Linked DNA regions of Rhinolophus ferrumequinum. The protein of the gene in region 1 purifies or fractionates together with the protein of each later gene. This does not show direct contact. Links are inferred from orthologs where the notes say so. Each region holds a gene or a part of one and is shown on either strand. Other genes may lie near its edges.

What was found. The genes of interacting proteins can lie anywhere in the genome.
Region 2: the proteins of NELFA (region 1) and NELFE purify together in Homo sapiens (affinity purification with mass spectrometry; 9 studies listed by BioGRID and IntAct, counting the BioPlex papers as one, with this or other methods). This does not show direct contact. The link is inferred for Rhinolophus ferrumequinum from reciprocal best matches to the Homo sapiens genes NELFA and NELFE.

The regions. Positions count from the first base shown.
Region 1 is NC_046288.1:87,030,584-87,039,104, reverse strand, and holds the start of NELFA (negative elongation factor A), read right to left. Parts: upstream 3,311-8,521; 5' UTR 3,257-3,310; coding exon 3,047-3,256; intron 1-3,046. UniProt on the Homo sapiens protein: Essential component of the NELF complex, a complex that negatively regulates the elongation of transcription by RNA polymerase II.
Region 2 is NC_046286.1:2,408,215-2,416,152, reverse strand, and holds the start of NELFE (negative elongation factor E), read left to right. Parts: upstream 1-4,341; 5' UTR 4,342-4,476; intron 4,477-4,908; 5' UTR 4,909-4,916; coding exon 4,917-4,991; intron 4,992-6,354; coding exon 6,355-6,424; intron 6,425-6,523; coding exon 6,524-6,669; intron 6,670-7,164; coding exon 7,165-7,239; intron 7,240-7,347; coding exon 7,348-7,385; intron 7,386-7,576; coding exon 7,577-7,884; intron 7,885-7,938. UniProt on the Homo sapiens protein: Essential component of the NELF complex, a complex that negatively regulates the elongation of transcription by RNA polymerase II.

The sequences.
Region 1 (8,521 bases):
TGTGGGGGAGAAGCCTGCTAACAGGTAACAGAGTTTATTTTGGGGTTGGTGAAAAATGTTCTAAAATTGACTAAGATGACAGCTGCACAACTCTGAATATATTAAAAACCAATTCAACTGTACATACTGAATGGGTGAATTCTGTGATGTGTGAGTTGTCTCAATAGAACTGTTACAAAAAACTCATTCATGATTAAAATAGTTTTTTTTTTTAATCTAGGAACAGAAGGGAATTTCCTTAACCAGTAAAAAATATCTGCCAAAAATAATAGGAAACATACTTATTGGCAAATATTCAAAGTTCTTCCAGTGTTGCTGTCACACAGCAACCTAGCCGACTGTCGCCCCATGTCTTTCCTTGAGGAAAGACGGGTCTGTGAGACTGTGCCTTTCTGGGACTTTGTTTTATCTTGATGTTTTACACCTCATGTCTCTCTGTCTGGTCCCCAAAAGATGGTTTGCAGCCAATGATGAGTAAGATTCCCCATGGGGGGGCAACTTAAGCCAAGCAGAACCATGTGGGGACCCCCAATGAGCTAGCTGCCTTGGAAGATCTGGGAAGGGGCCTTGCTTGCCTCCCCTTCCCGCTGCCTAGAAAAAGCCACTGCTGACTCCGGCTTTCCCCTCTCACCTGATTGTGAGAGCGATACAATCAGCTCTCCCCTCTAACCCTACAATTAAGTGTCAGCATGAGAGACCTGTCCCTAAGGAGGACATACCACCATTGTTAAGACACCATGGGACTTTCTGTTTCGGCTGTTTACAGGCAAGCGTGATTGGTTTGAATCATTTTTCTGGTATGATGTATGAGATTCACAGACTGTGGAAAAGACAATGCTACTTCCTTGTATGATAATCAATAAAAGCCACCAGTCAGCTCGATTCTGGGCTCCAGTCTTTCAGAACTGTGAGACCCCTGGCCTTCTGAGATTTAACTGCATTAAGTCTCTGTTTCTTTCTTCCTTAAAACTTAACCCAACGCCACCCCTTCTCGTCCCCTTACAGCCTGTGTTGCGCTGGACGCGACAGTGTGGCCAGAAACAATGTACTGGAGTGTCCTGGTGAATGCAATAAGGCAAATGAATGAATGAATGAATGAATGAATGAATGAATGAATAGCAATTGGAAAGAGAAATAAAATAAGAGTTAAGTGCACAGAAAAATGAAGATTCTACAGGAACATTATTGCAATTAGTAAGACTAGCACAGATGCTATTCACAAACTCATCTAAAAATAAAATTTTAACGGATATTTATATCAGCACGAGAAAACATGAAATATCTAACAGAAACTGGAAGGCGTCTGCTGAGAAAATCATGCAGCTTTACAACAAATATTAACATTAAAGACGATCTAGGAGCTTGTAATGCGGGAGCGGTGTTCTCTGGCAGCCAAGTCCGGCAGGGGCAAAGCCAAAGCAGGGCCTGGGGCTGCTCGGAGCACGAGGAGCCTGCTGGGCCTGGTCCCTCCTCTCTCAGGAGCACACCCCTGCCAAGGTCAAGACTGTTCACGTATTTTTGAAATAACAAGAACCCAACTGTTTCTGGATGCTCACGGAGGTGTCCAAGAGAGGACTCAATCCGGAGCAGCAGTGACCAGGTTGTCTCCACGCTAAAACAAACGAAACGCAAACCCAAATATTAAAGATGTAAGTTGAGATATGCCTATATTAATAATTCATGAGAGTCAATATTATTAAGACGATTTAACCCCAGAATGAACTATAAATGCAACTCAGTCTTAATCAAACCCCAAGTTGTACGTGGGCGTACGTGTAACCTGAGAAGTGAAGGTAACACACACGGAAGTGCAAAGGGCCAAGAAGAGCCACAGACCCTGAAGAATAAAGTGGGCGGGTCTGCGCCGTTAGCTATCAAGACTTACTGAGCTAGAAAGTGGCACAAAGAGGCTTAGTGTCATTAATACGTAGCCTACAGGAACAGAGGAGAGCCCAGAAACAAACCCACAGCCTAAGTGACAGCGCAGATCAGCAGGCTGCCCCTGGGGCCAGGTGGGCAAGGCTTCCGAGGCGCCTGCGTGCGCTTTGGGTGGCTTTGCGGGACCCCCGCCTGAACTGAACAAACTGGCACTTGTGCGTGCGTTCGCGCTCACAATAAAACAGGCACAAACCTAACATGCAATCGTAAGGGACCGAACAGGAGTGGGGGAAACGTCCAACAACTACGGGGTTCACTGCACGAAGAACCCGCAACACGCCGTTCCCGGACAGGCAGTGTCACCCGCATCAGGATGCTGCAGAAACGGGCGTGCGGCGAAGCCCGGGAGTACCGAGGGACCTAAGTGTGTGGCCACTCTGTGGGCTAAAAATAACAACACGCGGTCCACAGTCACTGGAAAGTTCTCCGCAGGCCATCGCGGCCAGCTCTGCCCTCTGCGCGGCTTTCAGGGACCCAGGGAAACCCGGACAGACTCGCACCCCCACATCAGGGCACTAACCTCCGCGCCCTCCCGCAAACACGCACAGGCACGCACCGCCACCGGCGCTAACAGGTGGTGCCCTAACAGGTGCCCGATGGCGGCTCGGGGTTCGCATCCATCCCCGCTGCCCTGCTCCCCAAACTCCCCTGCAGGCCGAAGGGCTCCGCTTTTCCTCACCCAGAATAAGGGGGCCTGTGAGGGTGACGGTCGGGGGAGGGGCAATGAGGGTGGGGGAAGGGGTGTGCCGTGAGGGGAGCCGCTGGAAAGTTCTACCGGGAGCGCGGAAAACCCAGTGCGGCCTGAGAAGGGGGGCTGTGAGGGTGGGGGGCGTGAAAGTGGGGGGCTGTGAGGGTGGGGGGGCTGAGGGTGGGGGGCGTGAAAGTGGGAGGCTAAGGGTGGGGTGTGTGAAAGTGGGGGGGCTAAAGGTGGGGGGCGTGAAAATGGGGGGCTGTGAGAGTGGGGGGGCTGAGGGGGACTGTGAGGGTCGGGGGAGGGGGTGCTGTGACAGGGGGGCTGGGGGGACAGTAAGGGCCGGGGTCTCGGGTCTAAGGAGCACGGCCGCGAGGTGGAAGGCAGGCCCTGCGCCCCCAACGCCGCCCGCCTCACCTCGTCCACCGTGCGGCGCGGGAGGTGCAGCGTCCCAAGCAACAGCTTGAGCTTTACGGCCGACGAGAGGCTGTGGAAGCAGAGGCGGATGTTGTCGATGACCGCGGCCGTGAGCAGGGACGCGATGCTGGGCGGCGCCCACAGCTCGTCTGTGGCCCCCAGCTTGTTGTGCAGCCACAGGCCCGTGTCGCTCTCCCGCATGGACGCCATCTTGGGGGGGGAAAGCCGGGCGCCGCCGCCGTGCCGGCATCTTATGAAGACACCTACGCGCCCATGGCGAGGACCCCCAACATGGCGGCGCCCGCCCGAGCAGGCTGCGGTGACGTCACAGGCGGGGCGGGGCCTCGGCGAGACGCTTCGTGGTGACGCCCGCGAAGGCCTGCCGGCCGCCCTTGAGTAACATGGCGGCGCCCACGACCGGCTCTCTGAAACAGCCGCGGAGGGTGACGTCAAGAGAGACGGAGATGTCGCGCCGGTGTGGCGTGTGGGCGCGGCGGCTCTGGGCCGAGGCTCTCGACTGTTCCCGCCATGGATCCCAGGGCTTGAGCAGCGCGGGCATCCGGCTCAGGCCTCCCCACGCCTCCCGAGGGAGGGGTCCAGGTCAGACAGACATTTAGGAGCGCCTTTGTCAAAGAGAGCCAGGTCCAGCTTTCATTCATTCCTTCAGCAGTCCAGACGGGCTGAGCACCTACTGTGTGCCTGGCACTATGCTGCGCTCATGAAAGGGACGGAGAATTTCCCTGGGAGTTTATTTGAGCCAAATCTGAGGGCCGGCTAGAAGCAAAATCTCAAAGGACTGAGAAAATGCTCACGGAAGAGCAATTTTGCAGTTCTTTGTATGCATTTAGAATGGAAGGAGAGAAGGTAGGCACGTGGAATCCACAGGTGGCAGGTTAGGAGGCGGAGAAAGCCAGGCGGGCAGTTTCTGGGACTGGATAAAAAGTAAGACGGAGAGACACCGCTTTACACGGGTGGGTGCAGGGCAATTAACACTAAACATTTTGTACAGAGCATGACTTAGGGACACAAAACGGAATCTAGTCATTCTGATAGCTATGTCAGTCACAGAGTGACCGTCATGCCAGGGCGTCACGTGAAAACGTGGAGTGTGACCACCTGGACGATGCTTCCTGGGACTGCAGGAGGGGGCACCGCCCCCCGTCTCGAGCATAAAAGATCAGAGCTCACTGACGGCTCCTCGCTCAGGCCTCAGCCGACCAGCTGACAGCAGCACCTGCACTCGTCCCAGAGGCGGCGCTTGAAGCCTCGCCTCCTGACCGTGTCACCAGCCCACCTGCCGCCCGACACTCCGCAGCCCAGCACCGGAGGACTCTCGCTGGACACCGGACTCTCTCATCCTTCTTTCCTAGACTCTGTTCGCCTCGCCTCACCCTGTTACTTGCAAACCCGTGTGACCCTCCTGTGTGAAACCGCCCTCCCTCGCTATTGGAGGCTGTCCCCGACCAGAGCCTCGGTTAACGCCCGTGGGAAACCAAGTCAGCAGGGCTAGATCCACGCTTTATTCTAATAAAGTCTGACGTTGTGGAAAGACACCAACGTGTGTGAAACGGCTACCGTCACAGCCACGTCCCACTCACGACACATTTACAGCACAGACAGATGGTATGCGGGGGGCAAGGTAACAGGACTGCCGTGCTCTTGCTCTGGTGCCAGCAGTTGTGCCTCTGAGGTGTCTGTAAAAGAGAATTACTCTGACATTTCAAAGGTACGTTATCCTTGATGAGCCCAAGGTAAAGACCAACCTTTGCTAAGGAAGCTGTAGTCCTGGCACGTGACTACCCACTATGACCTGCCCAGTTAGGGATTTATGATCTGACCGTGTATGGTTACTGTTGGTCACTGAGCTTGTCAGGCCTGCCACGTAGCCTGTTGTACGTTCACATCTGGGTGCTGGGGGTACAATAGTGAGACCCAGACCTTTGCCTTCGTGGGTCCCGTGACCCAGGGGAGTGGGCAGTCTACAGAGGTGAAGGTGGTGTGGACAGAAGAGCTGGGCAGGTGTACAGGGAGTGATGGGAGTGCAGTTTTATGCAAATTATGTCTAAAAGGACTGGGGCAAGCTTTCTCAAGCCTGGCCAGTCTCTCTGGTCCCTAGTACCCCTGTGATTGCCATTTGCCAGGCAGCTGTCCCAAGAAAGGGCAAGTGGCTATGCCTGCAGCTGCTCCACGTCCTCAGGGTCAGCTGCAGGTGGCCTTCCAGGTCTGACATCTGCACCTGCCAGGTTTGGGCCTGCGTTTTCCAGATGCCCAAAGGGGGATCAGTGGTCAGGTACCTTTTGAAAGGGAATCAGCCCTGCCTTGGGGGCAATGGGGTGCTTACCACCCGCAGCCCTGAGTTAGTCTTGTGCATAATCAGTGAAGGCACAAAATCAGGGCTTTAACCAAAAGCTGAGTGCCCCTCCGTCTGGAGGGGGGCCCTGTCCTGCCCTGGCCAGCCCCTTCCCACCAGGCCAGCTTCTTCACCTGCCTCCAGTGGTCTCTGTCACAGGGCTCACAGGCGCCGGTGGGCCTCTAGTGGGCCAGGACAACAAACTGGAGGGACTCCCTAGTGCGGTCACAAACTGAGATGAGTGGGGACTTGTTTACCGTGGCACAGCCAGGGCCACATCTCTGAGGAGGTGACACTGCAGCTCAGGGTGAGAGAGGCTGCAGGCAGTGAGTGGCCTGCACACGGAGCACCTCGGGCTCAGGAGGTCTCCCCACCACATCCCTTCCCTGCGCCCCTCCCCTATCACAACCTGGACCTCACCTCCCGAAACAATGCTTGTGCCCACATTTTCCGTCTGACCTCCCCCTGCCCTTCTTGCCCATAGGCTCTAGCCTTCTACTTCATCGAGAACATTTGGGGAACGGGGTTGGGGGCACCTACTGCCTTGCCCTTCTTTCTGTACCTGGGCCGTGGAGAGATCAGCAGTTAGACCCCTCAGACCAGGGTCCTCATTGGTTGGGATGAGGCCCACCTCTGGTTTTATTTCATTGGAGTCTATTTTTCTTCCTTCCACCATCAGTCCCAAAGCTCTCCTGTCCTCAGACATCTCACCCCTACTCTAGTGTGTTTGGAATATGTCTTTGACAAACGTAAAGAGTTCTTATGTGTGTTTGTGTCTTCAGTGGACAGAGATGGGATTGTACCGAGTCTCGTGTCCACCACATTTTCGTCTCCATTCCCCTAGGATTAAACCTTCACATCGCGTCCACTTGCCCACCTTACAGACAATCTATGATGAGGACGCTTGTACGAGTCCCCCAAGGACTATGGGTAAGGGTTTGGGAGGTACAGGCCCAGAGAGGGGTATTGGCCAAATGGCACCCCTGTAATGTCATAGAGGGCTGCCAAGGGGGGCTGCACGTCCCCTCCCAGTTGTGTGCTAGAGCCAGCTTGTACAGGCTTGCAAGAACTATTGTTAATTTTCAGGAATTTTCTAAGCCTGTCATTCAAAACAGCCATTATCAAAAATTAAACTTTATTGTATTCATTTTATTTCTTTACCTTTTACAAGGCATTTTACTTCATCTCACTCTTGCCCATACTCTAGATGTTATTTACGTCCAGTGTAACTGAACGGGGGAAATGCTGTACATTTTGTTATAACGCTGATGAGAAAAAAATGCATCCGCAGCCTGGGCCACGGTCTCTGTGGAGTGTGCACCTTCTCCCCTCATCTTCTCTGGTCCTCCCGTTTCCTCCCGCGTCCCAAAGATGTGCTCATGAGGTGAATGGTGTGTCTACATTGTCCCAGTGTGAGCAAGTGGGCGTGGGTGCACCATGTGATGGCAGGGCCTCCTGTCCGGGGCGGGACCCCCCTTGTGCCCTGAGCTGCCGGGACAGACTCTGGCCACCTGTGACCCTGAACTGGAATAAGCGGGTTGGAAAATCACGACCTTCCTTGTTTTTATTAATTGTTCTTAAATGTATGTGGAGCTCACATTTACTTCAGTGTTTAATATTAGAAGTGTTTTGGGTGTTTATTTGGAAGTTTGGCGATGTGTTTGTGACTAGAAATATGCCGTAGGAACTTAGCTCTGGTTTATACAAATTAGCCGAGGGTAAAACTGGTTTCCTTATACGTCGTTTCGCTTCAAGTCGCAGTTTCCAAGAACCTACCGATGATGTTAGGTGAGGACTGCCGGTAGCCCAGCTGGAGTGCTGCCCAACTCCTCCCAACTCTATGTTCACTGAGGTTGCACGGGCAGCTCGGACTCAGCCATGGTGGGCGTGTTTACACCCCGGGAACGGGCAAGAGCTACACATCAGGGCAGGACTGACTGGTTGATTGTCCAGGCTTAAGAAAGTGATGGAGAAAATGCTAACAATGAAGAAAGCATGTTGTGTCTGTTGTCATTACATTGTGAAGAGCTCACACACACACACACACACTTGAAGCAATGTTTCTTCCAGTATTCAAGCACTATTACCTGATTCAGCAAAAGAAGTCCCTCATGGCACTGACTAACAGGTAAGGTTCTGGAGTAAGTGATGCTAAAGCTAAAAGAAGTTTAAGTTAAATAACTAAGTTTTTGAGGTGGAGAAATAGTTTTGCAGGTGATTAAACATCAAATTTAGTGACAATGCACTTACCGGGGAAGAGCCGATTGGAATAAAACCCCGTATATCAAACAACGCTTGAACTGTAACCATTGCTTGACTGAGATGAAAATCTTTGTTAACTGGATGCAAATGTTCATAGCAGCTTTATTCATATTCATAATGGCCAAAAATTTGAAACAATCCAAATTGCGTTGACCCCATTTGTGGCTTTCTGTGGAATATTCAGTGCTTGGTGTATATGTCCTCAGTCTCATGTCCTTGAAATCAATTGTGAGTCATCAGGAAGAATTCTGCTTAACCACTGGGTTAACAAAGAGAAGACAGACCACTAGAAGGAGGCATTTGCAATATCAAAAACCATCAAAAAGCACCAGTGGATTAACATTTAGAATGTAAAAAGAAATGCCTGTAAATTGGTGAGAAAAAGACAGGCAATCCAATAGAGAACTGGGCAAACGATAAGAAAAGGCAGTTAATAGGAGGGGAACCAGATCCCTGAGACTTAACAAAGAGATGCTTAACTTATCACTAAAACCTGAAAAATCCAAATTAAAATAACATGATGCCTCATTACATCTATTTATTACATTGCGAAATTAGAAAGTCAAAATTTTTGTTTTTAGATATGGATATCTAATTGTCCCAACACTATTTGTTGAAAAGACTGTTCTTTCTCAAATGAACTGCCTTTGAACCTTTGTTAAAAATCTGTTGTCCATGTATGTATGGGTCTATTTCTGGACTGTTTTCTATCCTGATTTATTTTCACTATCTAGCTGTACACTAATACCACACTGTCTTGGTTACTGTAGCTTTATAATAAGTCTTGAAGTCAGGTAGTGTTAGTTCTCCAACTTTGTTCTTTTGCAAAGTTATTTTGGCTATTTTTGGTCTTTCACATTTCT
Region 2 (7,938 bases), on another chromosome or scaffold:
CTTACCCCTTTGTGTAGAAGGTGCCTCGGGAGTCCAGCAGCAGGAAGAGCTCACCCTGCGTCTTGGGGCTGTTCCCCGTGAAGAGATAATGCTCTAGGGGGACGGGGCGAGTGACAGTGCTGATCACATAGATCTGACGGCGCTTCAGTCGTCTGATGGGCGGGAGACAGCGGGGGCGGGGGATGTGGGAGGAGCAGCGCACACGCCACCACCTTCCCCCTCGGGCCTCACCCAGCCTTTTCTGGAAGCCGGATTGGAAGGCTGTCCCCGTCATCGTATCTCTAAACATGCAAAGTAGTCTGGGCCCAAGTGGGCCGTGTTCCCCAGCCCCACCCTCTTCTCCCACCCCCAAGGCTGTGGCAGTCTTGGCCCCCTACCCCAACCAAGCACTACTACAGCGGCCTTCACCCAAGCACCCCAGGACACACGCCTCACCCAATCCAGTCAGCAAATTCAAGGGCGTTGGGGACAGTGGCACTCAGAAGGATGATGGAGACGTGGTCAGGGAGCATGATGAGCACCTCCTCCCACACGACCCCGCGCTGGGCACAGGGAGGGAAAACGAGTCACGGGCAGCTCAGGGGGGAATAGGGAGCTGCTGAACCAGTCCCACAGGAAAGGACCAGGCCCACATGAGCCCCGCGGCGCTTACCTCAGCGTCGTTGATGTAGTGAACCTCATCAAAGATGACCCACTCCAGGTCCCGGATGACATCCGAGCCGCTGTACAGCATGGAGCTGGGGAGAAGAGACCGAAGGCTGACTCCCCAGTAGCTCCCGTCTCCACTCTTAACTCAGCCACTCTCTCCAGAGCAGCCTCAGCTTCCTGGCCCCACATCCACCTGTGCTGAATGCCCATCTCTCACCGAAGGATCTCTGTCGTCATGATGAGGCAGGAGGCCTCCGGGTGCAGCTGTATGTCCCCGGTGAGCAGCCCCACATCCCCAAATGTGTTTCGGAAGTCTCGGAACTTCTGGTTACTCAGAGCCTTGATGGGCGAAGTGTAGATGGTGCTGGGAAGAGGGCGTGAGGTTAGCGCGTCTCTCCACACGACATGTGCTCAGCAGCGCCTGTCCACCCTGAGCCCTCCCAGCAGCATACTGCAGGCTCAGCGGCCCCCTTTCTTCACCCAATCTGCCCTTACTCTCCTGCATGACGTGATCCCAGAAAACTTTTGACTCTCAACCTCTTCCTAAACTAAACGCACGTAGATCAGCCTTCTAACCTCTCTCCCGGCACCTTCTCATTTCTCTCTGGGCCCCCGTCTTAGTTTCTCCCCAAAACCTCCCATCTAAAAGATGAAGAAAAGATATGGGGAAGAGATGAGATTTAGAAAAGAGGCAGGGGAAACAGGAATGGCTGGTGAAGGGGGAAGGTAGGGGAGGGGACCCGTACCGTGTCATGTGTTTCTGGGCGAGGGCAATGGCATATTCAGCCACAACTGTCTTCCCCGCAGACGTGTGAGCTGCCACAAAGACTGAGTCGTGCCGTTCCAAGTGCAGGATGGCCTGTTTCTGGAACACATCGGGCTCAAATGCCCACTGTGGGACAAAGAAATACATGGAGAATGAAGAGCGGAGAGGGGCCTTCCTGCCTCTGGCTCATGGGGCACGCAGGGCAGTAGGGAGAAGGCCAGAGTGAGGCAAGGCTGGGCCTGAGGTCCAAGACTGGGCGGGAAGGCTTCTGGCCTGTGGTGGGAGAGGCTGGGAGGAGGTGGAGGAGCATGTGAGGACGGGGCCACACTACCTGGAAGGCTGGCTGGGGGATGAGGCGATAGAAATCACCAACAGGGGAGGTGACATCCACAGGAATAGCCCACTGCTCCTGAGGTAGGGCTTTGGGGAGCTCGGTGGGCAATATAGCTGTGGTCGCTTCCTGAAAAAGTCGGGGGTAGGAATGATGAAGTTATAGCCAGAAAACTTTCCATTACTACTCCTCCCAAAAGACGCTCCAATCTTCCCCTTAGACCCAACCAAGCCAGTCCACCCTCCCAGCGGCAAGGCTGCTTCTTTCCTGCCTCGACCACCCAGAAGCACCAACCTTCAACACTAGGTCCTCCAAGCTGCTTGTTCGGGCCAAGGGAGCACTGCAGGGAGAGGCTGGAGCAGTGTCCCCTCTGGTACCTCCCGGCTGTCCCACTGCCTCCCTCCCATCCTCATTTCCCCCACCCAAATCCAGGGGTTCCAGCAGACGGCTGAGGCTGAGCAAACCACGAGCTGGAGCTGAGTGATCTGAGGAGAAAGGCAAAAAAAGGGGACCTGGTCAGGTCCATCTCTGTCCTGTAAGATAAGGGCACCACTTCTCCATGCCCCCACCTCAAAACTCACCTTTGGTGCAAAGTCCACGCCTTTCTTGAAGCCAGGTGGAACGGTAAGAAGCTCTGGAGGACCGGGACAGAGAGAGAATGGGGCCACTGCACACCGTTATACAAATTGTACATTGCATAAACCTAAAGGATGTCATTCACAGCACAAACGTTGTAACTGGGAACATTTGTTGTAACCACTTTCCAATAAATGACAAAGAAGGTTGTTATGGAAAGGGTGCCTTTTCCTAATTTGCTCAAAGGCATGAAGCAGCCCAGTGATAGGCCTGGTCCCCTCATCTGCAAGGTCCAGACTTGAAGCCCTGCCGCCCAAGGGTCCATCCTGGCACCACCTCACCTTTCTCAAAGTCTATCTCCTCCTCAGCTTCTTCCCGAGTGCTCAGATCTGTTATGGTGGGCTCGTCCATTCCACCTGGGGAGAGGTTGGACAAATAAAGATTCATGAGGGGTGATACGGGAACCCTTCCTTGGAGACTGAGGGCTCCCTCCCCAACCATCTCATTTCCACAAGAGTCACCTGGCCAGAAAGGGTACTGTGTTGGATTCCCCCATAGGGACTGGGAAACGGGCCCTGGTGGCCGGCGAAGAGACAAGGAGGTCGTGGCCGTCAGGTCTGTATTCTCCAGCAGGACCTGAGGCAAGAGATCAGAGCCTCAGTGAGGTTGAGCCTGCCTCTGACCCGCCTTTTCCCAACTCTGCTTCTCATGGCCCCTGATCACTTACCTCCTTGTAGCCCAGTATCTGGCCTGTGGTTGGGTGTCTCTGGGCTTGTAGATCGGAGGGAACTGGGGCCCCCAGTACAGCCAGGAGAGACCAAGGATCCATCTTCCTCTGCCATTTTCTGATGAGAAGGAAGTAATTTTCAGGTCTTCTTTCTCCTCTGTCTCAGCTTCTTTTAGAGACCCATCTCACTAGTCCAGTCCCCTCCAGACCCCTCACCGGGCTGGGTGATCCACACCATGCAGAGGCAGCCAGGCTGGAGATGACAGAAACAACTGCTCTGCTTCTTGCTGCAGATCCGGGGCACAGGGGGGGAGGCCGTGGGGAAGCTGGAACAAGGACAAGATGAGAGAAAGTGATGGGACTTGTGTTGAGATCAGAAATGGTAGATGTCTCAGACAGACTAGGACAATTAAGGTGAAGGAAGATTTTCCAAAGGTTGTCATTTTTTACAGGACAAACGGCCTGCTGCTGAATTACCTGAGGCGCTGGTTAATAATACAGATTTTGTACTTCAGAATCTGGGGCTGGACCTAGGAATATGTATTTTTAAAAAGCTCCCCCACTAATCATGAGGCATACTGAAATTCGAGAATCACTAGCTTTAGGAAAAGAGATCCCAGACCTAAAGATGAAGAGCCTTTATCTCCAAAGGCTAGCATCTCAGCCACCGACAAGTGCTTGGAGACAGAAAGGGACTGCAACCTTTGAAAGAGCAGTTCTCAGAGCTAAGGTACCCCAGCGCTGCAGGCTGATCCTCACATGGGCTCTGACCCACAGCAGGCCCACTAGGCTGGAGTCTGTCCGGCACCAGTCCAGGCCCCGAGGACAGGTATCCAGGGAGAGAAGAGCTGGTCATACTAGACCCTACTGTAAGGAAGAGGTTTTAAGCTCAATGCGGGTCAAAGGTTAGGGTCAAAAGTCACTCACGGTGCTCTCTGGAGCCCCAGGCACATTCAGCAGCTCCCAGCGCCCAGTGCATCCCAGCTCCACAGCCCGAAGGGGCAGGTCCAGGGGCTCTAGGGGAGGTAGTACTACAGGAGAAAGGTCAGAGGTCAGAGGTCAAGGCCAATCTCTGTCTATTTCTTCGTTCCACCCCCTCCCCCTCACCGAGTCGCTCTGTCTCCAGCATCTAGGAGCCACGGTAGGGGCCAGGCAGCCCAAAAGCGCAGCGGGGAGCTGTGTGATAAGCTCCGCCCCGAAACGGGCGGAAGTGGAGGCGACTTCCGGTACACACCCCGCTGGGGGTGTGCACGAGTGCTACGGAGGGGCTGCCCTGAATTGGTGGAAGGTCGGGCGGAAGTGACTGCGCCTCGGGCCGCCTTGGTTACCGCGTTCTCCGCCCCTCGATACGTCATCGCTCTGAGCCGGCGATCCGCTGCCCGCGCGGGCGCTGCCCGAGAGCGCGGGTCCCGGTTGCCGCCCCCTCAGGTAAGGCTTTCTCCTTCTCACCCTTCGCCCCTTTCTTCCGAGCTCTTTCTCTCTTTTTCCCCTTTTCGTTGCTCTGAGAGCGCTGCGCGGGTTCCAGTGCCTCCTCTGCGGTTCTGAACCCCCGGTTGCCATACGAACAACTCCAGTGGGGAGAGGGGGGGTCTTGTGCCATCGTCTTGGCGACAGAGGGGGTATTTCTCCTCGGGCCACGGGGGGCCCCAAGGCGCTGGTGTCTGTGATTCCTAGCGAGGACGGAATGCTGGTTGACCCCGACGAGGGGGCTCGGACGGCATCCTGGCTTAAGCAGGGGGTAGGGAGAGCCAACACACAGGAGTAGGCAGGCCTGAAGGGGGGGGTCGGGGGAGTGGACGGCGTGTGAACCCCGGGCGGTGACAGTGGAGAAAGATGCCTTGGGCCCTGCCCCTGAACCAGGAGCCACCATGTTGGTGATACCCCCCGGACTGAGCGAGGAGGAGGAGGCTCTGCAGAAGAAATTCAACAAACTGAAGAAAAAGGTGAGGGAGTGTGTGTGGGCATCGCCCAACCTTTCACAGACTCTACCCTCTGAGACCACCTGGGGTGAGTGTGAGGGATGGAGGGTTCTTCTGGCTCACACCGGCACACTGGCACCTCTCAGTGTAGCCTCAGAGGTGGGCTTTTCCCAAGTCTGTGTACCTTCTCTCTTTTCTATTCACTCTGCCATGGAGTTGTCTTCCTTTCCTGTGGCTTTTAGTACCACCTAAAAGCTGGTGATTCCACGTTTGGTGTTTTTCCAGTTCCATCTGATGTCTTACTGATAACCTTCAGATATCCAAAATTAAAGCTATTATCTTCCTGTTTATACTAATCTAGTTCCTTTTCTTGCTCTTCCAAATAAGGCGTGATCACATTCAGTTCTCCCATGTGTTTAGAATCAAAATCTCATCTCTGATTCGCTGTTTGCTTCGCCAAACGTTTGCCAAGTCTTCTGAATTCTTCCTTGGAAGTAACTTCTATTTATTTTTTCCTGTATTATGTATTCCATAGATCTAGGTCTTTGCTGACACTCATCTAGACCGTTGTAATGGTCTCTCGACAAGTTTTTAGTGTTTGTTTATTTTTAACAGACTTCTTCACTCCTATTAAAACAATCCATTGAAAACATAAGACTTTGTCCCTCTTTTTCTCAAAACCCTTAAGTGGTTTCACATTGTCTGTAGAACAAAACCTTAACTTGTGGCATCCCTTTTTAGTAAACTAGAACTATTCACTAGTCCCAAGACATGCATCCCCAAAGCTTCTTATCTCTGTATTTTTGCCACAGTTTTCTTTGTCTAAAATGCCTTTTTTCTTCAGTTTCTATTATGCAGATGCTACCTAGGGTCCAGTTTAATAACCATTTGGCTTCAGAAAATCTTACTCTCAGCTGCAAGCAGTCTGCACGTCTTATAATCATTCTTGATAATTCAGTCTAGCCACTTTGTTTCTCAGATTGTAAACTTGGGGAGGAAGTGCGTCTCCTCCCCATACAAAGTAATGAATGGCAAGTTCTTATTAAACAAACAGGGTATGGATGGATGCACTCCAGAAAGCATGTAGGCGTTTATTTACTTGCAGCTCATAACCTGGGGCTCTCGTCCATCATTGACTTTCTTGTTTTCTACTTCAAAAATGTGATGCTCTGGGATACCATGGTTTGGATACCTTAAGTATCGGTGGCGCTGTGCGTGAACCGGGCCCGTGTGTAAGAGGCAGGGCTGCTTTAGTGAACTACTCCAGGGGCACCATTTGCACTGTTTTCTCTGAGAAAGGTGTCCCCTGGAGTGACGCACCCAGGGGCCTTAGGAGAGGACCTGGTCAGAGACTGGCCCTCACCAACTCCTCTCTTCTCATTCCCAGAAAAAGGCATTGCTGGCTCTGAAGAAGCAAAGCAGCAGCAGCACAGCCAGCCAGGGTGGTGTCAAACGCTGTGAGTGACAGGGAAACGGGGATAGGCTGCGAGTAGGGAGCACGGGGCTGACCTCTCGCAGCCTGGCTGACGTCATGCCTCTTTCCCTCACCACTGCAGCACTGTCAGAGCAGCCTGTGGTGGACACAGCCACGGCAACAGAGCAGGCAAAGCAGCTGGTGAAGTCAGGAGCCATCAGTGCCATCAAGGCCGAGACCAAGAACTCGGGCTTCAAACGCTCTCGAACCCTAGAGGGGAAGTTAAAGGTAAGCACAAGCAGAAAGATAGTTCAGGGGACCCCTGACTTCGGAAGGCATCCCTCCAAGAGCAATGGAGGTGGTTTAGGGAAAAAGTGATACCTGTCAATCACGGGCAAAATGCGCTACCATTCTGAGCTTCAGGTTGCTTATCTGAAAAATGAAGAAAATGGGTGACTCCTAAATTCTCCATTTTACACATTCTGCGGCTCTGTTGTGCGTGTGCGAGCTCTTAGATTGTGCTCTAAGGAGCTGAACAGGCTGAAATGGCGTCAGGTTCAAGAAGTGTTTAGGTAAACTAAATACTTGAAGGGTTTATTAGGGTCACTTATTTAAAAATCCCACACAGTCAGATAAGAGAAGTGCAAAGGAATTAAAAGAAAAAAAGACAAAACGGTAGAACAGAGGAAGCTGAGGAGAGGGTGAGGGAAAAGGAACGCCCTCTGACCCGCGGTCAGGCAGCCTCCTGCCCCACACTGAGGCAGGTCTCTACCACCTTCCCAGGATCCTGCGAAGGGGCCAGTCCCCACTTTCCAGCCGTTCCAGAGAAGCATATCTGCTGACGATGATCTGCAAGAGGTAATGGGCCCCGTTCTTTGTCCCTGAGGGCCTGGGATTGGGGAAGAGGAGCGACCTACATGCCAGCAACCAGGAATCAGCTGAACTGAAACTGGGTCTCTTTTTCAGTCGTCCAGACGTCCTCAAAGGAAATCTCTGTATGAGAGGTTAGCAGGTTGGAGATAGGACTGGGTCCCACTAGGTGGTTGGTGTGGGGGGTGATTGCCTGGATCCTGGGGCGGTCTGGGGCTGGAGTGGCAGGAGCTGGGGCTGCACAGGGAGGCGGGGGTCAGTCTCCTCAGGGTCTGGGAAGACTACCAAAGGCCCCCTTTGATCCGCGCTGCCTGCCTCCCCCTAGCTTTGTGTCTTCCAGTGATCGGCTTCGGGAACTGGGGCCAGATGGGGATGAAGCAGAGGGCCAAGGGGCTGCTGACGGCCCCCCTCGAAGCTTTGACTGGAGCTATGAAGAACGTGGTGGCACCCGCTCCTCAGTCTCCCCTCCCCGAAGCCGCAGCCGGGACCGCAGTCGTGAGCGGAACCGGGACAGAGACCGAGATCGGGAACGGGATCGAGACAGAGATCGGGAACGGGACAGAGATCAAGACCGGGAGCGGGACCGGGATCGAGACAGGGACCGGGACCGAGATCGGGAGGGCCCTTTCCGCAGTGAGTGAGATTGGCTGGTGTGGAAAGTGACCACAGATAGGATTTAGATGGCTC